Linked DNA regions of Macaca mulatta. The protein of the gene in region 4 interacts with the protein of the main gene of each other region in a pairwise test. Links are inferred from orthologs where the notes say so. Each region holds a gene or a part of one and is shown on either strand. Other genes may lie near its edges. The genes, in order: RUSC1, CEP95, DAXX, FAM9B, CHRAC1, HAPSTR1 and TUFM.

What was found.
Region 1: the proteins of FAM9B (region 4) and RUSC1 interact in binary tests that used the Homo sapiens proteins (3 or more experiments, as listed by UniProt). The two-hybrid records come from large-scale screens. The link is inferred for Macaca mulatta from reciprocal best matches to the Homo sapiens genes FAM9B and RUSC1.
Region 2: the proteins of FAM9B (region 4) and CEP95 interact in binary tests that used the Homo sapiens proteins (3 or more experiments, as listed by UniProt). The two-hybrid records come from large-scale screens. The link is inferred for Macaca mulatta from reciprocal best matches to the Homo sapiens genes FAM9B and CEP95.
Region 3: the proteins of FAM9B (region 4) and DAXX interact in binary tests that used the Homo sapiens proteins (3 or more experiments, as listed by UniProt). The two-hybrid records come from large-scale screens. The link is inferred for Macaca mulatta from reciprocal best matches to the Homo sapiens genes FAM9B and DAXX.
Region 5: the proteins of FAM9B (region 4) and CHRAC1 interact in binary tests that used the Homo sapiens proteins (3 or more experiments, as listed by UniProt). The two-hybrid records come from large-scale screens. The link is inferred for Macaca mulatta from reciprocal best matches to the Homo sapiens genes FAM9B and CHRAC1.
Region 6: the proteins of FAM9B (region 4) and HAPSTR1 interact in binary tests that used the Homo sapiens proteins (3 or more experiments, as listed by UniProt). The link is inferred for Macaca mulatta from reciprocal best matches to the Homo sapiens genes FAM9B and HAPSTR1.
Region 7: the proteins of FAM9B (region 4) and TUFM interact in binary tests that used the Homo sapiens proteins (3 or more experiments, as listed by UniProt). The two-hybrid records come from large-scale screens. The link is inferred for Macaca mulatta from reciprocal best matches to the Homo sapiens genes FAM9B and TUFM.

The regions. Positions count from the first base shown.
Region 1 is NC_133406.1:111,658,952-111,662,680, forward strand, and holds the start of RUSC1 (AP-4 complex accessory subunit RUSC1), read right to left. Parts: upstream 2,257-3,729; 5' UTR 2,128-2,256; coding exon 762-2,127; exon of another isoform or gene 491-761; coding exon 80-490; exon of another isoform or gene 1-79. Other genes in the region: putative uncharacterized protein RUSC1-AS1, read left to right, coding at 2,336-3,322; FDPS (farnesyl pyrophosphate synthase), read right to left, coding at 3,304-3,504. UniProt on the Homo sapiens protein: Associates with the adapter-like complex 4 (AP-4) and may therefore play a role in vesicular trafficking of proteins at the trans-Golgi network. Signaling adapter which plays a role in neuronal differentiation.
Region 2 is NC_133421.1:74,427,422-74,430,921, reverse strand, and holds part of CEP95 (centrosomal protein of 95 kDa), read right to left. Parts: intron 3,458-3,500; coding exon 3,304-3,457; intron 1,347-3,303; coding exon 1,207-1,346; intron 1-1,206.
Region 3 is NC_133409.1:148,966,160-148,970,416, reverse strand, and holds the start of DAXX (death domain-associated protein 6), read right to left. Parts: upstream 2,801-4,257; 5' UTR 2,756-2,800; coding exon 2,703-2,755; intron 1,832-2,702; exon of another isoform or gene 1,779-1,831; coding exon of another isoform or gene 1,762-1,778; coding exon 1,572-1,761; intron 1,422-1,571; coding exon 590-1,421; intron 446-589; coding exon 237-445; intron 82-236; coding exon 1-81. UniProt on the Homo sapiens protein: Transcription corepressor known to repress transcriptional potential of several sumoylated transcription factors. Down-regulates basal and activated transcription.
Region 4 is NC_133426.1:8,568,769-8,572,872, reverse strand, and holds the start of FAM9B (protein FAM9B), read left to right. Parts: upstream 1-1,304; 5' UTR 1,305-1,571; intron 1,572-2,328; 5' UTR 2,329-2,417; coding exon 2,418-2,445; intron 2,446-2,945; coding exon 2,946-3,066; intron 3,067-3,245; coding exon 3,246-3,277; intron 3,278-4,104. UniProt on the Homo sapiens protein: May play a role in meiosis.
Region 5 is NC_133413.1:150,833,643-150,837,758, reverse strand, and holds the start of CHRAC1 (chromatin accessibility complex protein 1), read right to left. Parts: upstream 2,801-4,116; 5' UTR 2,770-2,800; coding exon 2,623-2,769; exon of another isoform or gene 2,492-2,622; intron 2,246-2,491; exon of another isoform or gene 2,190-2,245; intron 1-2,189. UniProt on the Homo sapiens protein: Forms a complex with DNA polymerase epsilon subunit POLE3 and binds naked DNA, which is then incorporated into chromatin, aided by the nucleosome remodeling activity of ISWI/SNF2H and ACF1.
Region 6 is NC_133425.1:10,312,706-10,316,822, forward strand, and holds the start of HAPSTR1 (HUWE1-associated protein modifying stress responses 1), read left to right. Parts: upstream 1-1,317; 5' UTR 1,318-1,380; coding exon 1,381-1,606; intron 1,607-2,241; coding exon 2,242-2,322; intron 2,323-4,117. UniProt on the Homo sapiens protein: Acts as a central player within a network of stress response pathways promoting cellular adaptability. The E3 ligase HUWE1 assists HAPSTR1 in controlling stress signaling and in turn, HUWE1 feeds back to promote the degradation of HAPSTR1.
Region 7 is NC_133425.1:28,093,539-28,097,763, reverse strand, and holds the start of TUFM (elongation factor Tu, mitochondrial), read right to left. Parts: upstream 2,801-4,225; 5' UTR 2,673-2,800; coding exon 2,621-2,672; intron 2,509-2,620; coding exon 2,314-2,508; intron 2,004-2,313; coding exon 1,837-2,003; intron 1,579-1,836; coding exon 1,474-1,578; intron 1,386-1,473; coding exon 1,221-1,385; intron 1,075-1,220; coding exon 942-1,074; intron 858-941; coding exon 753-857; intron 625-752; coding exon 473-624; intron 378-472; coding exon 258-377; intron 1-257. UniProt on the Homo sapiens protein: GTP hydrolase that promotes the GTP-dependent binding of aminoacyl-tRNA to the A-site of ribosomes during protein biosynthesis. Also plays a role in the regulation of autophagy and innate immunity.

The DNA.
Region 1 (3,729 bases), on a different chromosome or scaffold from region 4:
GATAGTGGGAGGGGCCTTGGAGCGGGCGGGGCGGCCCGCCTGAGGCGTGGCCCGCGGGGCTTGCCCGGGTCCGTCTTACGTAGCCTGGGCGGAGGCGATGGGCTCCTGGTCCAGCGAGGGGCCTTCGGCGGACGAGGTTGCGGTGGCAGCGGGGGGGCGGGTACCTGGCGGGGTGGGGGAGCCGCGGCGGGGAAGGTGCTACTTCTGGGAAAGAGCGGGGACAGCAGCAGTGCCAGCTCGGGGCTGGCCAGGCAGGGCAAGGCTCCCCGAGTCGGAGGCGAATAGGCTCCCACTGGGGACAGGCGGACGGGCAGCAGCTGCTCCTCTGGGGGGCTCGGCGCCCCCAGCAGCCGCAGCCCAGCGCCAGGCCACCCTGCCAGAGGAGCCAGGAGCAGAGACCCAGCTGCGCCTGCGCCCCCACCCTCCAACAGGGGGCGCCCGTCGGCCGAGAACCGGAAAACCAGGGGCCGAGGGAGCAGGAGGGGACCGGCTGCAGGCGGGATTGGCGGGGCCAGGCGCAGAGGGAAGGAGGGCAGCGGGATGGGCAGCCAGGCAAGGAGGGGCGGGAAGAAGAGGGAGCAAAGAGTTAGTCCCATATCCCAATGACCCACCCAGTTTCCCTTTCCCGGAGCGCTCCCTGGTAGAAGGGGCGGGGAGGATGGGTGACACAGAATGGAGGGAAGACAGGGGGCCGGGTTGGAAGCCTAGGAGGCGTGAGCGGCCGAAGCCCAGCCCTCCTCCCGCTTCTTGCGACCTCTTACCCTCCAGGCCGGCCTGCGCGCCCGGCTCTCCCGGCTCCTTCGCGGCTGGGGCCTCCTCGCCAGCCGCTGGGCTGACAGCCCGGCCCTCCTCGGACTGCCCCTCCGCTATGGGCTGCAGTCCAGGTCGGTTCTTCTTCCTTCGGGGAGGGACAGGCGGGGGTGGGGGCCGGGGCGGGACCAAAGCCCAGCCAGCTGGGGGGTCTCGAGGCGGGACTGGCGGGGGTGGGGCCCGGCTTCGGGACCGGAGTTCCTTGAAGGTGGTGACTTCCCGAGGAGGTGCCGAGGAGCCGCCCAGCGACCCCGAGGGGGGCAGCTCGGTGTCGGGCGAGAAGACTATGAGCCAGTCACTGCGATCTTTCTTGGCCTGCGGGACGAGGGGCAGCCCTGGGCCCCGCTTGCGCTTCTGGGCCAGCTCGTGGAAGGACGTGATTGTCCGGTGGGGCACCGGCTCCTCGCTGACGTCACTTCTCCATCCTCCATCAATTTTCCCTGCATCTGTTTTCGAGCCAGAATCAGTTATTCTTGTGTTGGTTTTCCAACCAGAGTCGAATTTTTCAGGTTCATTTTTCCAGCTAGAGTTAACATTCCCGTTGTTTTTCCAACCAGTGTTACTGTTTTCCGTGTTTTTCCATTCAGCTTTAGTTTTCTCTGTGTCAATTTTCCAAATTGGGTTAATCTTCCAACTGGGCTCCGTTTTCCCAGCGTCGATTTTCCCATCATCCGCCTCTAAGAGCTCAGAGGTAGGGAGATCCTGCTCCGCGCTCTCATCCTCTTCCTCCAAGCCTGGGGAAGGGAGGTCCTGGCAGGTGGTCAGGGCGTTGCAGTTCGAGTCCAGGCCAGGATCGGGTGAAGAAGAAGCTCCGGAGCAGGAATCAGGAGAGCAGCAGAAGCTGTCCGGTGAGCAGGTGCCAGGGCCTGCTGAAGCCAGTGGGGAACCTTGCTCCAGGGGGATGATACTGGGCTGAGGGTGGGCATCCTCATCACCAGGGAGGTCCCGCAAGTAGACTGAGACGGGGGACTCATCGGGGCTAAGATCTGAGCAGGAGCTGAGCGAGGAAGAGCAGCCTGGGTCTGAGGGAGAGGCAGCCCCCTCTTCCTCCTGTGATGGGTCCTGCCGGTTTTCTAGGCCCGGACCGTGCTCCTGGCAGCACCGGCAGGGCACAGCTGGGCTGTTGGAATTGGCGTCCACCAGGGTGCCACTGCAGGGGCCCCTGCTCTCCTTGCCCCCAGTGTCTCCTGGGGGAGGGGATGTGCTCAAGGGCCCTTCCCGTAGCTCAGGACGGCGGGACAAGTGCAGGCCCAGGGAGACGTGCTGGAGATGGATGTGATTGAGGTTGCAGAGTAAAGCTCTCTGAGGAGACAGCATGGTGCCAGCGGCGATGGGATGGCTTCTAGAGAACCAGGAGGGTAGGGTCTCTCACATCCACCTACCTGGCAACCACAGGTGCAGACCTAGAAGACAGGGGTGGCGAAGCCCAGCCAGTGAGGACAGGAGCTGCGGGAAGGACACTGAGGTGACTGACGGCAGCAGCAGGCCTGAAGGCTCTGGCTGCTTTGGAAGATATTTCAATGAGATGCAAATCGCAATCGACTGGCCATTAGTTTCCACTGCAGTGTTTGCAGGTGGAGTCGAATGTAACCCTCCGGGAATGGAGCCGGGAGGGTCAGAGAACGCGGCTGCGCTCTGGATTTCCGAAGGGGGGCGGGGGCCCGGAAGAGGTCCGGGCCCAGAATGGACCTCCGGGTCCCTGCTGCCGCAATCTGGCCCTGCCCTCCTGCCTACCCCTTACTCCCACAGGAAGGGACCCAGGGAGACCCACCCAGATGCCCTGAAAGGAGGCGGGGGATGGGGGTGGGTCGATATGCAGAGTTTGCCTGGTGAATGCAGGAAAGGGGTGGGAGCTGGAGAGGAAAAGGATGGAGCAGCCGTCAGCTCGTCAACTCCACATCTGCTGGCTGCCTCCGCCGGGCTCCAGCCTGCGCCCTCGCCCCTCAGAACAGCGGTATGTCCATTCTCTCCGCATTCGTCTCCATCGTTCAGTCACCACCGCACCCCTTCTCTATTCATTTCTCCTGCTCCCTTGTCCTGCCCCGCCCCTCGTGCCCTGGTCCATCGGCCTACACCCATGGGCCGAGCCCTCCTCACCAGGGTCCTCCTGGAACCGCTCCGGCCTTGGGCTTGTCCTCGGCTCCCACGGTCCCCGCCCGGCGGGGCACAGAGCGGGAGGGGAGGGGCACTAGCACAACCCACTCTGCGCAGCGCATCTGCACCCCTTCGCGCATGGGCGTGGCGTAGCTCAGACCCGCCCCCAGCGCTTAGCGTCTTGTGTCACCCACCTAGCGGGTTTGATGTATCCCAAGCTTTTGGCCCTGATGCCAAGGCCCCTGGGTCCCGCTTCTGTGCAGCGAGTCCTCCCAGCACCCCACCCCGCACATTCTGGAAAGAGCCAGACTCTGGCTGCGCCGAGCAAGAACAGAACCACAAAAAGGTTACACAATTATTTATTGAGAGCCTCCTCTCCCCATCCTTGCAATCTCTAGGTCACTTTTTCCGCTTGTAGATTTTGCGCGCAAGCCCCAGAAAGATGGCTGGGGGCAGGGGCGCTGCGTACTGTTCAATGAGAGCCATAATGTGGCTGTAACTGTCCTCCTCATATTGCAAGAACACAGCCTGCAGATCCAGCTCCTCATATAGTGCCTTCACCCGGGCCACTTTCTCAGCCTCCTTCTGCCCGTAATTTTCCTAAAAGGGGTTGGAAGACAGGAAAACGGGCTTGGCCTTCCCCAGAGCCTCCAGGACCCCTCCACTCCTCTCATTCTCATATTTCAGAACATCTCCAAAGCCACCCACTCCTTTCCTCCCTCCAATTTTCTTTTTTTTTTTTTTTGAGATGGAGTCTGGCTCTGTCGCCCAGGCTGGAGTGCAGTGGCCGGATCTCAGCTCACTGCAAGCTCGCCTCCCGGGTTT
Region 2 (3,500 bases), on a different chromosome or scaffold from region 4:
TTGAGAAAAAAAAAAAAAAAAAAATCCTGCCACCGCGCCCAGCTAACTTTTTTTTTTTGTATTTTTAGTAGAGACGGTGTTTCACCGTGATCTCAATCTCCTGACCTTGTGATCTGCCCACCTTGGCCTCCCAAAGGGTTGGGATTACAGGCATGAGCCACCGCGCCCAGCCGCTCATTCACTTTTTAAAAAATTCCTTTCAGACTCTGTATCACAAAATGTATGGGTTTTTTTGTTTTGTTTTTTGAGGCAGAGTCTCACTCTTGCCTAGGCGGGAGTCAGTGGCACAAACTCGGCTCACTGAAACTTCCACTTCCCGAGTTCAAGTGATTCTCCTGCCTCAGCCTCCCGAGTAGCTGGGACTACAGGCGTGCACTGCCATGCCCGGCTAATTTTTGTATTTTTAGTAGAGATGGGGTTTCACCATGTTGGCTGGGCTGGTCTCAAACTCCCGACCTCAGGTGATCCACCTGTCTCAGCCTCCCAATGTGCTGGGCCACTGCACCCGGCTCACAAATCTACATTACTTTAACATATATAATTGGGACATAAAATGAAATTTTACATCACGCATTTTTTCTGTTCTCAAGTTTTTGCAATTATTTTGATACTCTCCTGAGTGGAAGTTACATGCTGAGTTACAAATGAGTGTGAGACGTCTGAATTAGTTTTAGTTTTTCACCATCATAAATCCTACTGCATTATAAAACCTACTACTGTAAACAACTTAAGTGTTCTAAATCCATGCTACATTTCAAAATCCACATTCCACAGGGGAAAGTCTTCCTAGGTAATCATACCAGTCTCGTTGTTGTTGAATCCCAACCACCTCCTCTCATTCCTGTCTTGGGTACTTGATCTCATCTTCTCTGTAACTCAAGTGGCCTGTCACTTTAATCCACCTCATATTCCCCTCATCTCTGAAGCTCACTCACTCTGAAAATAACAACTCACGCTGATCTCCTCTTTCTTAATCTACTGGAACACCAAGCTATGTCTGGCCAGGTTATTTTTCTTAAGTTTCATGAGTATAATTTTATGCTAATGGAGACATAAGCTATGCCACGTAGCTCTCTATCATCCATTCCGCTCAAGAATATTAAATGCATTTTAAGCCTTAAATCAACAGCATGTTCATGGTAGCATCTGGCTGAGGGGAAATGGTATTGGCTGCTGCTTAATGGTAGTCAAGAGATGGGGAAGCACCTGTGCTCGGAATTGGTGGGTATCTGTTTCTCTTGGTTTGCGCTGCCTTTTTCTCTCCGTGTGGAACTGTTTGCATTTGTTAGCTGGAGATGGAGAGAGCGAATGGGATCTGTAGGGTGGCTTTCTATGCATGGAAAGTCCTGCAACAGAGAAAAGACACATAACATTAGTTCCTGATAGCCAGAATGTTATGCTGGAAACCAAAGTTGGTTTTTACTAAATCCAGAGAGACTGATGAGTGAAATGTGCTAAAGGGACTGTCTTCTGTAACTAACTTGTATTGGTATGGTAACACCAAGTAACAGACAAATGCATACGAATGTGTACTGTCTCAAACACTTAGCTTCTACATTCAACTTTGGATATTCAACATGTGGAATGCCTCCTATGCACAAAGGACTATGGAGAGTGCTCTTGGTGATGGGGGAGATGGGAAAAGAGAAAAGGTAAATTATCTGAGCTGCGCATCTGCTATCCTTTTACCTGTCTGGGTCCTGAGGAGGTGGGATGTAAGCATACATATCTATCTTATTATATATGCTTACAGGCAAAGTTAACATGTTAAGCATTGTCTAAGCGGTCCCAATTTTTCCCTACTTAGCAATCTAGCCCTCCTAATTGCACACTGCCAAAGAGATCTAACAAACCATTTCTTTCTACAAACCTTTTTATCCCATTGTCTATAGGTGTGTCTGGGCATCTGCTAGTCGTGAAGAGGGTGACTCCAGTGGGAAAAGCACTTCAAGAGAGCCTTAAGACCAAGGAAGCTAGTTTTGGTACCTTTATAAATAAATTTTCCCTGAGCTTGTTATTTTTTTCACATGCTTTTAATTCAAATCTTTCACATTTCAAATTCTAAGATGTATTTTTAAAAACTGACTTGCATAATCTATTTTGAATGATAGCTGCTCATGATGCATGATGTATTCTTCTCCAGAAACTGAAGACGCACCTGAAATAATATTTTAATTTATAACCTGTTTTCACAACAGGATACCATGTGTATGTACATAATAAGGGAAAGGAAGAGGTTCCTGGATGAGGGTGCCTAGAAATTGGCTGAGTCCTTTTAAAGGGAAGAGAGATGAAACAGTCAAGAGAAGGAAAGAGCATTCTTGAAGGAGTAAAAAACAACTGAAAAAGTTAAGGAAGTTGGGTCAGAAAAAGGCTATTTCTGAAGAAACAATGGATGACCAAAGTAGATAAAACTAAATATAAAATATGCAGGATTTTAGTTGGTGGAAGACAGGATAATTGGATTTGAACAATGGCATATCAAACAGTAGGAAGTGTCTGCAAAGACGTGGCAAACCAGAAACTGCTGATATGAGTATAAAGCAGTGCAATCACTTTGGTGGGCAAGCTGGCAGTGGTGAAGAAATGTAGGCCTTACGATCCAGCAATCCTACTAGATGGAGATATCACAGAAACTCTTGCACATATTCTAGGCTGTTCATTGCAGATTTTTTATAGTAATGAAAATTGGAAACAATCAACATGTCCAGCAATAGGGGAAATGTATAGTGCTATACATATATATATATACACACCCACACAAAAGTGACACACTGTAAGAACTCACAAAAGTGACACACTGTAAGAACTCAGTTACACTGCAGTTAAAATGAATGAGCTGGATCTATAAGTATCAACAGCAATAGATTTCTAAGACAATGTCAGAAAAAAATGCAAGTTGCAGAATAATATATATAGTATGTTAATTTCTAAACGACATAAAACAATAGTATGTTTAGACAAGTAATGTAAGAGCTGTTAAGAAAGTATAAAAACAAGGATCAGAAGAAAAGACGCCAACTTTAAGATAGTGGTTGCACTGAGGGTGGGGAAGAGATCTGTGGGGAGAGCAGAGGGGGTTTCTACTGTTTTACTTCTTAAACACAAAGGGGCTAAAGCAAATATAACTGTTAACACCTGCTACTTCTAGCCGGGGAAGATCCAGGTGTTTGATATTACTTCTGATCCTTTTATATATTTCTCAACTATTTAAAATTAGAATCTAAGTTATTAAGAACAGATGGAACTGCCTAAGTAGTTCACATGGCTGTCCCCCTTTCTCAGTCTCTCTGGGGTAAGTACCTGGCCTTGTCTTCTTTGGCCCATACTCCACGATGCCATCACTGTGCTGAGACAGTGTCTCCTCAGTTCCATCCTCTACCTCTTCATTTCCAGTATCTTCTTCTTTATGGTCAGTCTTTTCTTTAATCCGACCACCCAGGGCACTTTTTAACATCTATTGAGAAAACTTTTTTCAACATCTTTCACTGACTTCACCA
Region 3 (4,257 bases), on a different chromosome or scaffold from region 4:
ATCACTCTCTTCATCTTCTTCGTCATCTGTCTCAGCTTTGGAGGCAGAAGGGCACCCCTGGGATGCCATTCCACTAGGGCCCTGGGGGACAAAGAAGTTTCTCTAAGGAATCCCTTGCCCTAGAGGGTTTGGTTCTTGCATTCCTTCTCATGCTCCCCCATCAGTCAACCTGGACTCCCTGGTGGCCAGTGCAGGGGAAGGACAATGTCTCTCTGAAGGCTTTACCCCATCCACACCTCACCAGAATCCAAGGAGGCGGGGGTGTCTTCAGAGTGGGAAGAGGTGCCTTGGAGCCGAGCTCTTCTCTTTTTTCTCTCGCCCTCCTCACTTTTGTCTTGCAACATTGCATATTTGGAGATGACCTCATCCAGCCGACTCATGGCCAAACTCCGGTTTTCCCGAAGGCGCCGGGCCAACACAGGATCTGATAGTGCAGGGTCAATGCCTACGTGGGAAAATATAAAGTCAGAGCACTCAGCCGTGGAAGGGACTAGAAGAGTACAAACCCTAGAAAGGACTAGAGAGATGCCCCATCCGCCTCATACCTGACATATAAGGGTCACTGAGAGGCATCCCACTAACCCCCTACCTGGCCTATAGTCATCTGTGAGGTGGCAGCCAAAGTTGTAGATGAGATCGAGGTGACGTCGTTCCTGTAACCTGATGCCCACATCTCGGAAGGCATCCTGAGCCATGAGCTGGAGCTGCTGTCGGGGGAGGCCAAGGCTGTGTCGGGCAGCTGCCTTCTCTACTGCCCGAAGCACATCCCCATAGTCAGGGAAGGTATCAGGCCCTGGCTTGTTGATGAGCCGCTCAATGCGCCTGTTAACCTCTGGGTAGCGGGTGCCACGGTAGGTGATGCGCTGCTCTATGACACGGCCGGTCAGTGAAGAGCAGTCTTTCAGCTCACATAGTCGCCCAAAGAGGCGGATTAGCTTACGCTTCAACCGTGCCTCCTGCAGGTATGTGGAGTCTGGGTCATCCAATTCTGAGAGATCCAACTCCTTTTCCTGCAGCCGCTTGATCTCTGCCACATAGAGCGCCAGCAGCTGCTCCAAGCGCTGGATCTGCCGCCGGGAACCACGGGTCCTTGGGGCCTGAGAGGCAGTGTTTTCAGCATTTGTGGGGTCCAAGGAGAGGTGTGTGGGAGGGTTATTCCCAGAGGGCTCATTGGACGTGGTGGCAGCAGGGGCCAAGTTCAGCTTCTTTTTGGCTGAGTGGGCCTTGAGAACAGTGCAGAGCTCATTGATGTAGACATAGAGCTTAGATGGCCGGCTCTGGGCCCGAGATAGGACCCGAGAGAGGATGTTGCAGAACTCCGCCGAGGCCAAAAACAGAGAGTGGGCACGTTGCTGCCGGTTAGAGAGGAATGGGACCACCTCAGGGTGGTCCGCTGTCTGCGTCTTACAAAGTTCAAGGAACTAGAAGGTTCAGGGGAAGAAGGAAGGGGAAGAGAGACAAGGGAGGGGGTTGAGAGAAAGGGGAGTGGGGTTAGTGGGGAAGAAAGGACAGGAGAGCCAGTCAGCCATCCCCCTCCCTGGGGTACAATGATCTTCCCAGCTAAAGCTCACCTCTTGGAACAGCTTCTCATTCTCCAGCTTGTAGCACTTCTTGCCGCCCGAACTACTGCTTCCTCTGGCCCCATGAGGCTCAGAAGAGCTAGGGGCTTCTGCCCCTGGTGAGGCTGTACTGGGGAGTGGGTGGGAGGGCCCTGGCTGAGCAGCTGCTTCATCTTCGTCATCATCATCCAGCACAATGATGCTGTTAGCGGTGGCCATGGGGGAATCAAATCCCCCGGAAGGAGGAAGTGGTGGGGATTTCAGAATTCCTGCTGGAAGGGGATGGGGCCTCAGAATGAGCCCCTCCAGCATAGCCCCATCCCTTCACCTCACGCATTTTCTGAACTCCTTGGGTTTCAGCCCTGACCAACACTGTCTTCACCACCTGATTTCAATAACCATTAGTTCTATATGCTTTTCGGGCCCTTCAAGTGGTGTGGGGGGGGGCAAACCCCCCCACACCTTAAGTTGCCACCTTCTGCTCCACCCCTCACGTCGATTTCCGGTCTTTCTGTTGCATTTCCCCACTCTTTCTCAGAGTTGGCAAGTTGGTTCTTTCTCCCACACTGCACCCTAAATCGTCCTGACACCCCCTGGCACAGACAACACACTCCTGTGGGCGCCACCTCATGTGTTTGCCCCCTCTGCCCTCAAACAAGTCAACCCCACACCCGCCCCATCCTGAATGATCACCCCAACTCCTAGACTCTCTGAGGTGAAAGAGGTTCCCTCCCAACAGTCCGTTCTCTTTTCCCCTCCTTGAATTATCTCCGTATTTCACCCTCAGATGAGTCTCCTCAAACTGGGCCTTTAGGTTGAAGATATTTTACCCAAGTCCCCTCCCTTTCACCCCACCCTAATTTTCCCCATTCTCTCGGTGACCTGTAACTAATTAGAAGTCCCCCCGCACCGCGCTACGCTCTCCCGATTCCTCTTAGATCCCAACCCTGGGTCCGGCCGGTCCGGTAGATGCGCTTCCCGCCAAATCCCCCTCCCCCAGTTCAGCCCCCGGCCGCCCCACTCCCTTTCAGGGATAGGAAGGTACCACAGTTTTCCCCTCAGACTCAGAGCCCGGCTCTCCCCAATACCTCTGCCTCGATATCCCCGCCCCCGCCTCTGATCCCCGCACCATCCGGCCCCCACCTCAGAAACCGTCTCTCGAGGCGACCCTCGCCGCAGATCTCAGAACCTCGCATGGTTCCCTCCGCCTTCCTTCCCACTCCCACCGCAGGCCCCACTACGGACCGGAAGCAACAGAGTTTCCGCCTGCATGCAACTAAGCGCCGCCATATTGTCGTACGGAACAAGGCTTCCTGTGGCCGGAAGCGGCCGTAGGCCCGCCCCGCGAACACCTCCAGTGCCGCCCACATAGTCAGCGCTGTCTTCCAGGTCGGAGTTTGTCTCCCCGAACCCGGGCGTCCCAAAGCAGCTGGGGGCCGCCATTTTGCCGTACGGCGCTGGCTACGCCAGAACTTCGGTGCGCAGCCGGAGGAGCTCTTTTCACCCGGTGCTTCTCTGACTCCGCCAATCAGAAACTTCCTCCCTGGGGTCCAACCGCCGGCGAGTAGCGCGTGGGGAGAACGGAGCCTCCGTTCCAAGGAGGGGCAGGGGAACCGAACAGGGTGGTTTAGGAATTAGGCTTTCCAAAGCTGCGTAGGGTTTCAGGGAATGGCAGAAGTCTCTTAAAAGGGAAGTAAAACCTTTATCTTCAACTAGGCTATTGGCAAGCTATCTGGCCCTGCTTTCCTGTCCCCCAGGTTCCCATCTCCACGGCTTATTCGGCTGACCCAGCCCCTTCCCCTGCAAGGGCGGCGCGCTCCTTGCCGCTGTCCAGCAGCTGCTTCTACTGCCAGGTGCTGCGTCCCACAGTCGTTATAACACATGCGTACAAATAAGCACAATGCGCCATACAAAAGTGTTATTATTATTACTATTGTTGCTGATTTGCTTTTCAAGCTTCACCACAGAACTAATGACCAGACGGTTGGGACCTGAATGGTTCTCCTCCAGAGGGGGTCCTCGAAGGGCCGTCGGTGCTGACTGTGAGGCCGTGCTTTGTCGTGGAGGCCCAGGGTCTGCGGATGGGCGATGATGGGGTGGGGCTTGGAGGAGAGTTTGAGCCTCTGCAAGGGCTGCTGTGAAACGAAATGAGGCTCATAAAATACTTTGGGTTTCCTCCTCCTCTTCTGGGAGAGGGTAAAAAAGAATGAAAGATGAAGAAACAGACTTGATACCCACCTCGTTGAGTTTAGGGAGGTTGGAGGGAGTCGTGGAGGCAAGGCTGGGTCCAGAGGTGAGCTTATGAGGAAACCAGAAAGATTAACAAGGTCCCAATCGCAAAGATTCCCATTTCCACAAGTGGTGGGCATCTTGCCGCTTAACTAGGTTCACAGAATTTACTACATCCCTAACGCTGAGTCATAGAATCGCAAACACCCGTCCATTGAACAATCCCACATCACTTCTCTCCAGTCGTCAAAGTCTACAGCTTTCAAAATGGGGAACATAAAAAACCTCCGCGAGGACTGGAACTTGGGAGATGTAAGGGATTTAATTTCCAGAACCTCAACTTTCCCAAAATTGGTCTTCCTAAGGAAACACCTGCAGTACAGGTTCTCATTCTTCACTTCTCCTTTTACAATAGAGACACCCTCTTAAGAAAAAAGAAAAGAATAGTTCTCTCTTTTTCCCCTCCGCC
Region 4 (4,104 bases):
TGATCCAAGTTGGAAGTCATTTCCTTTAGATTCTGAGTTTATCTCATTCATATTTCTTGCTCAACAGATTCACTTGGCCTTAATTTTGTTCCTTTATGTTATGGTCTCTGGAGTATTTTCTTTATTTTTCAATTTTTACTACAGGATTTGTGTTCTTTGTGTGTGCTCTTTTTGGTTATATAGACATTTAAGGCTGTGGATTAGTTTTCCTGATGACTGCCTTTATAATTTCTTTTCTTTTCTTTTTTTTTGAGGTGGAGTCTCGCTCTGTCGCCAGGGTTTCACCGTGTTAGTCAGGATGGTCTCGATCTCCTGACCTTGTGATCTGCCCGTCTCAGCCTCCCAAAGTGCTGGGATATAATTTCAATAATATAATGAAACTCTATATCTTGATTTACAAACTTTAGGCAATATTTATTTACTCCTAACTCCAAAACAACTCTCCCCCTATTATAGGCGACTGGAGGTGGGAAAAAGCTGAGTTAACGATAAGTATTAAGGCATTAATTTGTGGGTGAAGGTTGTGGCATATGTCTGCATAAGTCTGGAGCATGAGGGTTTGTGGGCAAGTCTGGGGCATGAGGATGAGAAAGAAAAGTAGTGAGGAAACAAAAATGGTTATGGGCAGGGCACGGTGGCTCATGCCTGTAATCCTAGCACTTTGGGAGGCCAAGGCGTGCAGATCAACTGAGGTCAGGAGTCCGACACCAGCCTGGACAACATGGTGAAACCTCGTCTCTACTAAAAAAAAAAAAAAAAAAAATTAGCAGGGCTTGGTGTTGGGCTCCTGTAATTCCAGCTCCTTGGGAGGCTGAGGCAGGAGAATCACTTGAACCCGGGAAGCCGAGGTTGCAGTGAGCTGAGATCACCCTGCTGCACTCCAGCCTAGGCGATAGAGTGAGACACAGTCTCAAAAACAAACAAAAACGATAAAAGCACAATCCATTGATTGAAAAGGATGCAGCTGGGCATGTTGGAAGCACACAGGGCATGGGAGGGAGCCTGGGCCCAACCCATAGGATGATGGCCATTCTAGCCAAAGGGGCAGGGGTGGCTGGAAAGAGCCCCAGGGCGAGGTTCTAGGCCCTGTCCACTTGGCCTCCATACCAAGTCCTGTGTCCCTCCCCAGGAGCAGAAGCTGAAAGAATGTGGGAACAGAGGCCCCAAAGGGCCAACCCCACCTCAGTCCACAGCAACCACTTGCTGTCACTTAGGGGAAGGGGGAGGGCGTGCCAGCAGGGGGCGTGGCCCCACACGGCCTGTCACACGCATGTGCACTGAGTCGACCAATCTGCGAGGAGCGTAGGAAGTGCTGTCGGCAGCTCTCACGAGAACTGAGTACTTGTTTTCTTTTTTGTTTTTTGTTTTTTGTTTTTTGTTTTTTGAGACAGTCTGGCTCTTGCCGCCCAGGCTGCAGTGCAGCCGCGCGATCTGGGCTCACTGCAACTTCCGCCTCCCGGGGTCAAGCAATCATCCTGCCTCAGCCTCCTGAGAGGACCCGTTTTCTAAGAGATCCTAGTGGTGCTGTTGTCTGCAGGTTCTTTGAGGGCGCCACATCAGGGGTCCCTCAGGTGAAGCGCTCGCGGTGGGGAGGCGGAAACGCAGGCACGAGGCCCTCTGGGAACCAGGGTGTGAAGCGCTGGGCCGCCCGCTGACCTGTGAGGAAATGCCCCTGGCGTGGTCGCCTGGGGCCTGGGTCAGGGCGAGGCCCTGAGGGTGGGCTGGGGTGGGCCAGGGCAGGGAGGGAGCTGGAGCCGCCTGGGTGATCCCTAGGGCCCAGGAGGGCTTGTGCATGTGTTGGGGGGAGGTGCGGAAGGTGGGGGGAAGTGGGGGTGGGGCGAGGGTGTTGTTGGGGACAGTCTGAGTGGGGCCCTCCTGCCCGGCCTCCCGTCAGGACAGGACACTTGGGGTCATCAGGGGTCCCCTGTGCATCCAGGCGGGTGAGTGACAGTGCAGCCCCTGACATTCCTCTGGAGGTGGCTGGGGAGATCCTGTGTCACCCGGTGGCCCTCCCAGCCACACGGGGTCGCTGGGGGACCCAGAGGTAGGGCTGAGTTCTGTCCCAAAGGTGCGGCGAGGATCCCGCAGACGCCGTGGAGTTCAGGTGTGAGGGGCAGCTGTGAGCTCTGCAGCCAGCCCCGGGGACGGGCTGGACGGGCTGGACGGGCCAGGACAGGAGGGGACACTGGCATCTTTTCGGTCCCCTCCTGCTCCCACAGGAGACCCAGGGCGTGCCAGCCCCACCCTTCTTGAACCTGTGATCCCAATGGCTTTCCTTTCCGATGCCAGGGTTCCTTTGCTTCCTTAGTGTGCCTTTGCCCTCATCAGGTTCAGGGATCACCTGTAGCTTCCCAGGACAGCCAGCCACGGATCCTGTGGGCAGGAGGGCTGCCAAGGCCCAGTTGGAGGCTCAATTTATGGCGGCCCAGGGGAAGGAGCGTGCAGGTAAATACAGCCCAAGGTGACCCGGAAGAAAGTGCACGCCCAAGAGGACGGTCTGTCTGCTTTCTGCGCTGGGGGCACAGGGGTAGCCCAAGGACCCGGGCCCCTTCGTGGCTTTGGAGTCCATCGTGCACGTGCTAAGATGCCCCAGGTTTTCAAAGCAGGCTCAAGGGCCTTAGGCTTCCCGTGAAAGGCTCCCCTCATAGCGGGGTTACAGATGCTCCCAGAGCAGCTCTTCTCCATGAGTGCAGTCATGACATCCAAGGGGTCTGACGTGTAGTATGTTGTTTACTGGGACTTGAACCCGAAGGGCTTCCAAAAGTGCCTTGATAAAATGGTCAGAAGCCGGTGATTCCATGTACAGCTCTGCTTTAAAGCCTTAATTGGCAGATAGCCAAAAAAAAAAAAAAAAAAAAAGTCTACAACAAGTACATTTCTCCACAAAAAAAGTCCACAACAGTGTCTTCCTCTAAAAAAGGTTTGTCTTTTAAATTTTAATGCAGGAAAGGATCCAGTCAGTGACGAATGTGAGGAAAGAAACCCTTTTACAGAAACAAGGGAGGAAGATGTAACTGATGAGCATGGGGAAAGAGAACCTTTTGCTGAAAAAGACGAGCACACGGGGTAAAGTGTTTAAGTCACTTTTGCCTGTGGGATAGGGTCTTTTAGGAAAAGTCACCTTTGGACCATGTCATCACTGTTCTATTCTGTGCAGAACATTTCACATAAGACATTTCTTTTCCCAACAAACATGGCATTTTGTGTAGTATTATGCTAAAATTTTGATGTAACTTTTTTTACAGGGCTAATACCAAGAAGCCAGAAGATACTGCAGGTATATTTTAGGAGTTATCTGTCGTTTATGAAAATTGTTTTCAATCATGCAACTGTTGCAGTAAGTTATATGAATCAGTGGATGACAAGACTGTCTTAAATGGCTTATCATATGTAGCATTTAACATACGTATTTAATGTAATCTGTTTGATAAATTTTTCTTACCTCTTTGATTGTTGATGTGGAATGTGAGAATGCTTCTAATAATGGTGAAGCGAGATGGATGGCTTTTCTTTCATACACGTGGAAATTTAATTGTTTGGAGAATATTAGAGGACATTGGAGGAGAAACAGCTCTATTCGTTCCTTTTAGTGTACGCAGATTAAGTCATATATCAGGTTTTTTTTAAGCTTTCACTTTAAGTTTGGGGGTACATGTGCAGGTGTGTTATATAGATAAATTGCATGTCACAGGGTTTTGGTATACAGATTATTTTGTCACCCAGGTTATAAGCATAGTACCTGATGGGTGGTTTTTGATCCTCACCCTCCTCCTACCCTCCACTCTCAAGTAGGCCCAGTTGTCTGTTGGTCCCTTCTTCCTGTCCATATGTACTCAGAGTTTTTAATATGAGTTTTTCATGTTCTTAATTTAGCTATTCTATTGTCACAGCTTTCTGATTTTGTTTTATTTGAAGTACAAGAGAAAATTGAATTCTCTAAAATCATTTTCCATTATTATTCCAGTAATAAACTGTGTAGTACAAAAGGACAACTTTTCTATCTAGTGAGAAACATGTAATTGGATCCAAAAACTCATAAACTTTATATTGCTGTGTGAAATATTAGTTGCACTGTTATAGGGACCATATTTTCAAAAAAGTTTG
Region 5 (4,116 bases), on a different chromosome or scaffold from region 4:
TTATCAGGCTTAAAATTACATTAAGACTTCAGATTATCTTGGTTTCTTAAATTACAAGAAATCACTGCGGAGGCCGGGTGTGGTGGCTCAACACTTTGGAAGGCTGAGGCAGTCGGATCAGTTGAGGTCAGGAGTTTGAGATCACACTGGCCAACATGGTGAAACCCCATCTCTATTAAAAATAAAAAATTAGCTGGGCATGGTGGCAGGTGCCTGTAATCCCAGCCACTTGAGAGGCTGAGGCAGGAGAATCGCTTGAACCTGGGAAGTGGAGGTTGGAGGTTGCAGCACTCTAGCCTGGGCGAGACTCCGTCTCAAAAAAAAAAAAAAAGAAAAGAAAGAAATCAATCACTGGGGAAAAGAAAAACATGAGGTCAGAAAGAAAGCAAAGCCGGTATCAAAACTGGCAGAGAAGCAGGCATTTTCCAGAGGCTTTAGATGTCTAACTTATGAAAAAGATTAATCATAACTGTTTAATGGCCAACCTCTAGAGTAAAAAAAGAAGCGGCCAGCAGTGCTGGCTCACACCTGTAATCCCAGCACTTTGGGAGGCCGAGGCGGGTGGATCACAAGGTCAGGAAATCGAGACCATCCTGGCTAACACGGTGAAACCCCGTCTCTACTAAAAATACGAAATCAAAATTAGCTGGGCATGGTGGCGGACGCCCGTAGTCCCACCTACTGGGTAGGCTGAGGCAGGAGAATGGCGTGAACCCGGGAGGCGGAGCTTGCAGTGAGCCGAGATCGCGCCACTGCACTCCAGCCTGGGAGACAGAGCGAGACTGTCTCAAAAAAGAAAGAAAGAAAGAAGCAAAAAGCCATTCAAAAATTCTATTTGGCTCAGTAATACATTTTTAGTCTTCTATTTGCATACACTGTTTCTAAGGTGGTTCACCTACAACTATAGTGACCACAACTCACATTTTGCCGAAACTTTTCTATTCTAGAAACTAACGTACAATCCTCAGACCTAATGCAACAACCGGAACTGATCATCTTCTCCCTCCTGCACCCCAGTTCTTATAGCAGGCCCAAGTCTTCATTTTTACAGAGGCTGAACTGAGCCTTTCTCAAGGTTTTGACTTTAATGCATCTAGTTCAGTTAATAAGGGATGAGAAAGACAGGCATGGTGGCCTGTAATCCCAGCAGTTTGGGAGGCTGAGGCAGACGGATCACGAGAGGTCAGGAGTTCAAGACCAACTTGGGCAACATGGTGAAACCCTGTCTCTACCAAAAAGTACAAAAATTAGCCAAGTGTGATGGCAAGCACCTGTAATCCCAGCTACTCAGGAGGCTGAGGCAGGAGAATCACTTGAACCCGGGAGGCAGAGGTTGCAGTGAGCCGAGATCACGCCACTGCACTCCAGCCTGGGCAACTCCATCTCAGAAAATAAGGGATCAGAAGTGCCTGCATAAATCCTCATTCCTTAATACCAACAGAATGAAACCGTACAGGAAAACACAAATGCCCCCAGATGACCCCAGGGTCACTTTCCCTCTGGCTGTTTGTGGCGTAGGTGCAATAATTGCTGAATATGCAATTATTTCCCTGGGCTCTAGGAAAACATGGCTCTGATATAAAGCGGGCAAGAAACCTGTAATTTCCCACTTCCCTTAGTTCTAGTCCAATACTGTCGGAACATCATATACTTAACTACAAGTAGGGACTGGAAAATGGAATCCAAGGCAAGCCAAAGCATTTAACTGTGTAGCTGAAACATGGCCCAGTTTCAGAACAGGAAAACATCTGGCCTAACACTATCAAGACGCAATTTCTTAAAAAAAGACAAAATTAACTATTTTGCACCCAAGAGGATGCTAAACAGGCTGTAAAACTAAGTTCCCTGGACTTCCTTAAATTCTGGTTGCGGTATGTGCTGCCTCTTAAGACGAGGGGCCAGGTGTGGCGGGCGGGTGGGCTCGAAAGCCTCGGACCGCTGGAGCTGGCACCGCACCTACGGGGAAAAAAGCCTCGAGTGGCGGGTGAAGCGCCTGGCTGCACCTCCCACGGGACATTGGAGGAGTCAGGGTCCCCAAAGCACGAAGCAGGCCAGTGACGAGAAAAGGAACGCCGGGAGTGGGAATCTCGGGCGAAAAAGCCCCCAAAAAAACCTAACGAGAAAAGCGCCACTCGACACCGACGCCCACGGGTAGAGCCGGAAACTGCGAGCCGCACGCGAGGGAGGACGGGAGCGTACAGGTAGGCGGGACGAAAGGCACGCAGAGGAACGCGGGAGTTTACAGGTTTGCCGGACGGAAGCGCGCGAGAAATGGCGGGAGGACAGTGGGGTGGGAGGGGCGAAGGTGCACAAGGAAGGGAGGGGCGGGCGGAGCGAAGGAAGGAGAGAAAGGGCGGGAGAGGCGCGCGGTAGGCGGGGCGAAAAAACTCGGGAACCGGAGGGAGCGGCGCGGGGTGGGCGGGGCGAAGACGCGCGAGAAAGTGTAGGGGCGCGGGGGCACCGTGGCGCGCGCCGGCGTGGGACGGGGACAGCGGGGCGCGCGCGAGCCCGGCAAGGGCAGCCGGCGGCGCGCGGGCCCAAGGGGAATGGGCAGTGCCCGGAGCCCGGCGGGGCGGGGCGCGACGGGTAAGGGCGGCCCACACCCCCGCCCTACCCCCTCACCGTGGCCTTGGCTGTGAGCACCAACGCCTCCTGGTTGATGCTGGACACCTCGGGGGAGCTCTTCATGATGACCCGGATGCGGGATAGAGGCAGCGAGATGAGCCGCTGCTCCCCGCACTTGTCTTTGCCCACGACCACGTCCGCCATCTTCCCGCCCCTCGCGCGGGCGGCAGCCGGCGGGCCCGACTGCTAAGTGGCTGCCTTGCCGGCCAGCCGGTGGGTGCGGGGAGCCGCGCTCGCTGCCCCGTGGGAGTTGTAGTGTGGGGAGGCGCCGCCGCGAGGCCTGGAGCGGCCCGTCCGGGAGACTACGAGCTCCGTGATGCCTCGCGCGCCCAATCTGCGCATGCGCCGCCCTTCGGATCCTCCCCCCCTACCCGAGTGTGTGACCTGATGTGGAGCCAGGAGTCCAGAGTCTAGTGAGGGGCGGGGGTCGGGGCGCTGCGGGGGCGCGCACTTCTCGGGAGTCTCCGAGCTGCGATCGCGGACTACGATTTTGATCCGGGTGAGGGCTCTGCGAATGGGCAAGCAAAACCCTCTGAGTCCGGGCCTCGTCGCTCGGTGCTGTGTGTTAAGGGCCTGCGCTGTGCTAGGACCGGGCGTGCCGCCGTGGGCAAAAGTGACGCTTTCCTGAAGCACAAATTTCTGGGGGGGCGACCAAGCGGCAGCAGATGCGTCCTGCGCCGGTAGCCACGCGGCCGGTGGAAGAGCAGAGACCAGCACGGGCCATGCGGCGGGGCCGGGCTTGCTGCACCGCTCTGCGCTGCGGGGTGATGGGGAGAGGCGCCTTCATTGGGGGTGAAGGGCGGGGAGCTGCCCGGAGGAGGTCCTGGAGCCTGGTGGGAACAGCCTCTTCGGGGCTGCTCCGAGAGACGGTGTGCAGAGCCTGGCGTGCTCGCTGAGGTCTGACAGGCAGCCCGGGGCTAGGTCCTGTTGTTTTTTTTTTTTTATCTAAAAAAAAAAATGGGAAGTCGTGGTAGGGTTTGAGCAAAGGAGTCCCGGGCAGTTTTTTTTTGTTTTTTTTTGTTTTTTTTTTTTGAGACGGAGTCTCGCTGCGTCGCCCAGGCTGGAGTGCAGTGGCCGGATCTCAGCTCAGTGCAAGCTCCGCCTCCCGGGTTCACGCCATTCTCCTGCCTCAGCCTCCCGCGTGGCTGGGACTACAGGCGCCCGCCAACACGCCCGGCTAATTTTTTGTATTTTTTAGTAGAGACGGGGTTTCACTGGGTTAGCCAGGATGGTCTCGATCTCCTGACCTCATGATCCGCCCGTCTCAGCCTCCCAAAGTGCTGGGATTACAGGCTTGAGCCACCGCGCCCGGCCCGGGCAGTTTTTAAAGGATCCCTGCAGCTGCGGGCTGGGAGGGGGTGGGTGCGCTTAAGGGCGGAGTCACAGAGACCAGGTAGAAGATGATTACGAGAACCCAGGAACTTGGCCCTCAGGAGGCCGGCGGTACCAAGGGGACAGCAGCTGGGAGGAGAGAGGCAGGAGATGGTCAGG
Region 6 (4,117 bases), on a different chromosome or scaffold from region 4:
CAAGGCGCAGACGCGTGCGGGCACCCGGCAGCCTGGGCAGTCGGGTTATCCTCGGCTCCGCGGGCGGCTGCCTCTTGTCCACCGGGAAGGCGCAACGACCTCGGGGACGCCAGGGCGCAGGGGCAGCTGAGCCGACTTCGCAACTCTTAAGTTTTTCTTTGGCTCTGTTGCTCGATTTGCCCATCTAAGAAATGGGACTCTGGGCCGGGCGCGGTGGCTCAAGCCTGTATTCCCAGCGCCTTGGGAGGCCGAGGCGGGAGGATTGCTTGAGGCCAGGAGTCTAGACCTGGACAACGTAGCAAGACTCCTTCTCAAAGGGAAAAAATAAATGAAGTGGGGGGGCACTCAAAAGAATCGGAAAGTGCTTTGCAAACTTGGACACGAGTCGGGCGTTTTATTCACTTTCTCTACTCCCCTCCTCCCTTTGGGAGCCCCAGGGGCTGGAGTAAGCACGCTACCACCCACTACACCTCTCAATGCCCGCGGCACAGTAGTCGCACTCGATTTTGCATCCCCCAGGGCCTGTAAACGCCGGAAAAGCTCCCGCGGGGTGCGGTCGCTGGGCCTGGTCACGTGATCCCCACTCGGCGCCCCGGAGCTCGGGGGCAGCGAGCAAGTGCGCATGCGCATCCCTTCAAGCTCTTCCTCCCCACCCCCACCGGCTACCTTGGCTCGGACGCAACCACTGTCAGGTCCTCCCCCTCCTCCCTCTTCATCCTTCCTGACATTCACTCCCTTCCCCCAGCCACTTGGTTACGTCAGGCAGACAGGCCGAAGAACCAATCACGGTGCTGTGCTCAGAAGCCGGCACGCGGAACCGGTCTGATCCGACTAATAGGGGCCCTTGGAGCGGCCACGCCCCAACCGGGCAGGGGAGCTCGGGCCCAGTGGGCGGTGCTTCTCCAGTCAGCATGTGGGCGGGGTAGGGCGGGGACCAGCAGCCGCAGAGGCGTCCTCCGCGGCGGCGACGACGACGTTGCTCAGTCTTTGGGGTGGGCTCAGCGGTGCAGGCCGGGCTGCGCGGAGGGCTCGGCGGTCAGCGGCGGCGGCGGCAGTTGGGAGGCCGCAGCGTCATGGGGGAGCGTTAGACAGGCTGCGGCGGGGGAGGCGAGGGGCGGCAGCGGTCATCTGGTCCGCGGCGACCTCGGCGGGGCCCGGGGGGTGGGAAGGCCTGGGGCGGGGGTCGTCCCTGGTTGCACGGGGCCGCGGGGCGGGGCTCGCCGGCCGTCGGGGTGCAGGAGGCCTGGGCCGCTGAGAGGAGGAGGCGCCGCCGGCCGCCGGGCCCTGCCGCCGGGCCGCTTGACGACGACGCTCCCGCGGGGGCCCCGCCTGAGGAGGACGCGGCGGCGGCGGCGGCGAGGCCGCGGGAGGCCGCGGAGGATGGAGGAGCGGAAGGAGGAGGGCGAGGCCGAGATCCAGGAGCACGGGCCCGAGCACTGGTTCTCCAAGTGGGAGCGGCAGTGCCTGGCCGAGGCCGAGCAGGACGAGCAGCTGCCCCCAGAGCTGCAGGAGGAGGCAGCGGCCGCCGCGCAGCCCGAACACAAGCAGCAGAAGCTGTGGCACCTCTTCCAGAACTCGGCCACCGCCGTGGCCCAGCTCTACAAAGGTGAGGCCGCCGCCGCCATCTTGGTGCCGCTTGGCCGCCCCCGCCCGGGCCCGGCCCTGTCGGCTCGGCTGCCGCTTCGGGGGGCCGCTACGGCGGCGGCCCCGGGGGTCCCGTCCGGTGGCGCCGCGGCTCTGCCGCCCCCTCCCCGCAAGATGGCGCCGTGGGAGGGAGGCCCGGGGTTGGGGGGGCAGGCCAGGGCCGGCGTCGGGGGAGCCCCGCTTTGCGGTCGTCCGAGGGTCCCCGCTCTCCGGGCCCGGCCGCCCGGTGTCCCCCTCGGCCCGGAGAGGGGAGGGGAGGAGCCCCCGTCACAAAATGGCGAAGGGAGACGGCGGGGCGGCCCCATTGTGCCCTGAGCCGGCCTCGGGGCGGGGACTGCGAGGGGGGCGCCTCCCTGCGCCGCGACTTGTCCCTGATCTGAGCCCCTGAGGCCTGCGGCATCCCCTTCTCCCCGCCGCGACCCCCCTGCCCCCCGGTCCTCACACTGGGTTTGGGATCCCGAAACCCTTGAACAAAATGGCGAAACCTAATATGGCCGTTCCGGAGTGATTGACGCCCAAATAACATTCTTGTTCTGTTTCTTTTTCTATGTGTGTTTCTTTTTTCTTTCTTTTTTTTTTTTTTGGTTTGCTTTTCAGACCGAGTGTGTCAGCAGCCAGGACTTTCTCTCTGGGTCCCCTTCCAAAACGCAGCCACCGCCGTCACCAACCTCTACAAAGGTAAAGATAACCTTGCTGCATTGCCGATTCAGGGAAGGGCCGCTTGCGTCAGGGTGTCTCCCCTGCGTTCCAAGTGTGTTTTCTGCTCCCCAGCCCAGCTGCTAACCTAGAATACCTTGCAACTTGAGAATCCCGGCGGTGCTCTAGCTAGATCCACCGGAGGCAGTTTTGACACCCCTCAGGACAGATGGCAACGCCTGGGGACGTTTTTGGTTGTCTTCTCCTAGAGGGGGCTGTTGTTGGCACCCAGTGGATGGAGGCTGCTGAAGGTCCTGCAGTGCCCAAGATAACACCCCCGGCCCCCTCAGCGAAGAATTATCCTGTCTCTTAAGTCAGTAGTGCTCAGGTTGAGAAGCCTTGAGCTGGGAGACGCTGAGCCTTGCTTCCCACTGGAAAAGACGTTGAGGGAAGAAAAGAGTTGATGTTTTTTGTACTACAGTCGGAGGTGGGACGAACTGTATGGAAAAAATTCTTGAGTTAGGCATTTGAGAGCGTGGCAGTGTATGTAGTTTTGAAGTGCTTGAAAGCTTGCTAATCGGTCATCTGCGTGCATGTTAACGTGCTGCTCTTTTCTAGCATTTCATCACGTGTTTTCTGTCAAAACGATTCTATGTCTGATTATTATGAGTTGCTGGCAGGAATTCTATTGAGGGTTTTGAGTTGATAGATTTGTGTTTTATGGTGGTTCCTTTCTGGAGTTAATCCACCCTTTGTGATGACATGAAGATATGTAAGTAAACGTTCTTGACCATTGTGCTTTCTTGGTAACGGTGGGTTTAGATTTTGTGCCTTACTGATTTTGAAGACTGAGAAATTTGAGGTTGAATTTTTGTTTTGTTTTTGGCAAGGTTTTTATGGAAAAAGGATTATGACTTTGTTAATCTTAAGAAAAACGTAATTAAATGCTTTCAAACTTTTAAGAGTTGCTCAGAACAGTAATGGAATTTTGTGCATTTCAAACATACCGGTATAGGTTGAAACGGGCTATGAAGCTGCTGCGTGACTTTCAAGTTTTAATTTTTGTGTAAGAATGTGCAAATGGCCGCTGCATCTTGTAGGAAAAATATTTCTTATTGTGAGATTTCTTGAGTAGACTACAGTTTTTTGGGACAGTAATTTGAGAACTGGTAACAAAGTGATGAAAAGGAACGCTAACTTTAGGGAATGAGGAACTATCATGCTACTAGTCCAGCCTTACTGAAAAAAGGGAACATGGTTAAATAGTGCCCCAGTGGTTGGCTTTGCTTTTATATAGCTGTTTCTTAAATTGTGACTGAGTAAATTGCTTCAACATCTGTAGTGCTTGACGGTCTTGAACATTTTGGAATGGCTCTTGGTTTTGTCCAAAAAGGGAATTTTGAAATAATACTTAATTTAAAAAAAGTTTCTTGGAGTGTAATTTACATACGGTAAAATCACCGTTTTAGAATGTGTACTTCGTTTTTTTTTTTTTTTTTTTTTAACAAGTAGAATATATCTGTCACCCCCACTCCAGCCCCTGGCAGTCACTGATTTGATTACTGTTTTTTCTTCTCCATCATGTCCTAAATAGAACCGTGCAGTCCTTGTAGCCTGTTGTGTCTGGCTTGTTCCACTTACTATGATAAGATTCACCCATCGAGTTCGCATTGCAGGTGTGCATAGTTCAGTGCCTTTTAATTGGCGAGTATTGCTCTGTGGTGTGGCAGTACCATGATTTATTCTTTTGCTCTTGTTGGTATTGCTTTGTTCTTGAAGGGGAAGGCAACACATTTTTAGTGTTTTTATGTGCCAGGTTCTCAGCCTAGGCCATATG
Region 7 (4,225 bases), on a different chromosome or scaffold from region 4:
AGGAAATCTTTCTGTGGGTACATGCTGGCAGAGCTAAGCTTTTAACCTGCTTCAGCTTAGGGCACGCTGGATGAGGACTCCCGCCCCTAAGTCCATGGGCCATGCCCCTTCTGTTGGCTAGCAGCGACAAGCAGCCCCTTTCCACCTAAGGAAATAAAGTCACTTGGGTTGTCACAGTGTGTCTTTGGAACTATGAGTGAAGCAAAGGTGATATAAAAAGTGCTCCCTCCACCCTACATTTCTCCCACCCACCGTACCTTCTCTGGGGGCAGGATAACCCGACAGGCCATGTCCCAAGTCAGGGAGAACATGATAGGCATGAAGTGGGACACAAAGGGCTTGTGGCGGCCACCTTCCTCCTTGCTGAGGATGTAAACCTGGAGGAGAGTGAACAATGAGGGTGAGATGGGCTCGGCTGGAATGCTGGGGACAGCTTGGCTCAGCCCTGCCCACCGTCACCTGGAGCCCTCACCTGGGCCTCCACCTTCTGGTGGGGCTTGATGGAACCCGGCTTGACCATGACCAGGCCCCGCCGCAAGTCCTCCCGCTTCAAGCCTCGAACCAGGGCCCCGAGGTTATCTCCGGCCTCGGCCCTCTCCAGGTTCTTGTGGAACATCTCAATGCCTAGGAGGAAAGGGGAAAAGGAGTGGGGAGAAGGAAGGCGAGTGTAAGATGGAGGGAAGGTACAAGGGATCTGCCGGGGTAAGGCCACCCTGCAGTCAGCCCCTGGTCCCCAGGCTGGCTTCCCGTACCTGTCACCACAGTGCGGATGTTCTTGCTGTGTCCTAGGAGCTCACACTCGTCTCCCTTCTTTAAAATGCCACGCTCTAGCGTACCTGTCACCACAGTGCCACGGCCTGAGAGGGAATAAGACAGGACATCAGGGACCCCGAGCTAGGCTGCTGCTAGAGAGAGTGCGTGGGAACAGGCAGAGTCCTCACCAGGGACGGAGAACACCCCCTCTACAGGCAGCAGGAAAGGCTTCTCCAGGTCCCGGGTGGGCACTGGGATGTAAGTGTCCACAGCATCCAGTAGCTTCTGCACAGATTTCAGGCCTAATTCAGGGTCCCGACCCTGTTGAGGGGAAGCGACAGGACTCTGAAATCCCCATTCTACTCCCCTCGATTATCAAGAGCCACTTCCCAGACACAAAGCAGAGCTCTGGGTGCCCATCTAGCCCCACCCTCTGCAGCAGCCACCCTGCCTGACCCGGCCTTCACCTCAAGGGCACAGAGAGCAGAGCCTACAATGACTGGGGTCTCCTCCCCTTTATAGCCAAACTCGGTGAGCAGCTCCCGGATCTCCAGCTCCACCAGCTCCACCATCTCAGAGTCCTGGACAGCGTCAGCCTTGTTCACATACACCACCACATGCTCCACCCCAATCTGTAGACAGCAGAGAGACAGGGACAGTATCCAGAGGGGCCCAACTCCCCACTCTTCCCCTCTGCACCTTTACCCAGGCTCTGAGTACCTGTCTGGCCAGTAATAAGTGCTCTCGGGTCTGGGGCATGGGGCCATCATTGGCTGCTACAACCAGGATGCAGCCGTCGAGGGGTGCAGTGCCTGTGATCATATTCTGGGGAGGAGGAGGAGAGGAAACAGCCAAGTTCAACGAGCTCTTCAGTCCACATCCATATAGGCAAGTGTAGCAGTTAGAATCTCAGGCCCACCTTTCTCTATCATCTCCTCACCACCCATTCTGAGTGGTCATGGCCACAAACCTGCCATCTCATATCCAAACACTGAATATTTTAATCTCCTCCCCACAAGCCTAACATTTATCCTGACAAGAGGCAGCTTCTGGCCCTGTCTCCAGTGTCCCAGCAACCCTCACCTTAACATAATCTGCATGACCCGGGCAGTCTGTGTGGGCGTAGTGGCGGGCGGCAGTGCTATACTCCACATGGGCCGCATTGATGGTGATACCCCGAGCTCGCTCCTCCGGGGCATTGTCAATCTCCTCATACTTCTTGAATTTAGCCCCACCTCCCTCGGCTAGAACTAAAGGAGAAAGAGAACACACCTCTCAGCTAAAGTTGCAGTGCTAGAGGCAGAGCTTAGACCACGCCCCTGAGCCCTCCCACCTAAATACATAACCTCCTCCAATCTCTAACTCTTCCAGCAGAGATAACTGTGGGTCAGAAAGAATGTTAGGGGGCCTTTAGGGTCTACCCTGTGACTTCTTTGGGGTACAGCCTCTGCTCTTGGAGCCACAGTAAACACCTCCAGCAGACACTCTGCTAGCCTTGCCCCCCTGGCTCCAGGTCCCATCAGTAGATAAGGCGCTACTGGACGCCCCAACCCCACTCACTCTTCGTGATGGCTGCAGTCAGCGTGGTCTTGCCGTGGTCCACATGGCCGATGGTACCCACATTCACATGTGGCTTGTCGCGCACGTAAGTCTTCTTGGCCTCCACGGCCAGGCCGCGGCACAGGAGAGGCAATGCCGGAGTCTTCAGCGGCCGCAACAGACCCTGCAGCAGGAAGGTCCGGCCGGTGGCGAGACCTGCCGGGACCGAAGCTTGGGAGTCAGGCAGGACAGGGGTCAGACCGAACCCAGCCACCTACCACACCCCCAAAGTGTTCCTGGGCCGCCATCGCCCTCCCCGACCCCTCACCGCTGAAGTGGGGCGTCGCGCGCAGCAGGGTGGCTGCCGCCATTGTGGTCATACTCGCGCCCCAGGAACCGGGGAACGGGGCCCAGGAACCCGAGCGTGCAGCAGAGAAAGGGCGCCTGCGGCAGGAAGGCACTTCCGACGGAAGTAAGGACTGGGAGGGCAAGTCCGGGCCCCTCTAGCCGCCAGTGTCTATGGCCGTCTCCGCCGACGTCGGGCGCGCGGTTGAAGACGTCATGGAGGGGGCTGGTGTCTCGGGGGCGGAGAATGATGGAGAGGGTTTCCACCACTCGGGCCTCACGGGCTGAGGGGCAACGTAGTTTTCTCTGGCGGTCGCGGGGGGCACTGGGGAGCGTCCCCTAAAGCACTGGCGCCGCGAAGGCTCATGGGCGTACTAGTTGTCAGGGCGACGGGCTGTGGAGGTGCTCAGCATGGGAGTCAGGCGGGTTAGGCCGGACCCGGAGGGAGGGACTCGGGCTCGGGGAGGCAGCTGCGGCTCCGACTGCTCAGGAACCAACTGGGCCCGGCAGAGAGAGACCCCGAGTCGTCTGGAGTCCGACTCGCTACCCGGGTCTTGCGAGATATCTGGCCCCTTCTGCCGTAGCTGGAGGTAGGGGACCAGGTCCTGGACGCCTTTCGGGGATGGGGTGAAGTGTGACCTCTCTCTCCGCTGAGGCTTTGTTTTCTAATCTGTAAAATGGGAATAGTAGTATCCACTTCATAGGGAGAGCCTGACCTCTGGCCCTGAGAGGAGATTAACTGGGTAGGAGTCAGGGTTGGGCCCCGTGAGGTCAGGCAGCTTGCGGGGACCTTGTACTGCTAGACCTCACAGGGCCAGAGCCCACAAGACAGACAGCTTCGCTGCCCAACCCTGTAGCCCCTCAGCAGCCTAAGGAGCAATTCCTTTGGGCATCGCCCCACCCATCTAATTTTGCAGATGAGGAGCCAAGGATGAGGAGCCAGCTAGGGGAGTCTTTAAGGGCAGCCTGAGTCTCCTTTATTCTGTCTGTGGCCCCAGCACCTAACAGGGTGGAGCATGCAGTGAACGTTGAATTAATGAGTGCAAGGGTAGTCAATGTCCCTTAACTTCCACATCCATCATCTCATGGCAGCTTCCACATGGCACTCCAAAGTGTTAATTGTGGTTGCTTAACCCTGATTTATGTTTCGGAACTCATCAGATCCTGAGACTCAGTGGACAGTGTTGCAAAGATTCCCTAATTCCTCCCCTGGAGATATGATTCCGTCGGGTCTATGCACGGACTGGGAAGCTATGTAACAAACACCCTTCCAAAACTCAGAGGAGGCTGGGCATAGTGGCTCATGCCTATAGTCCCAGCACTTTGGGAGGCTGAGGTGGGAGGATGGTTTGAAGCCAGGAGTTCAAGACCATCCTGGGCAGATTAGGAGACCCTATCTCTACAAAAAAAAAAGTTTTTAAATTAGCCAGGCACAGTAGTGTGCACCTCTAGCCTCAGGAGGCTGAGGCAGAAGGATGGCCTGAGCTCAGGAGTTCAAGGCTATGGTGAGGTATGGTCGTGACACTGCACCCCACTCTGAGTGACAGAGAAAAACCCTATCTCTTTTTTTTTTTTTTTTTTTTTTGAG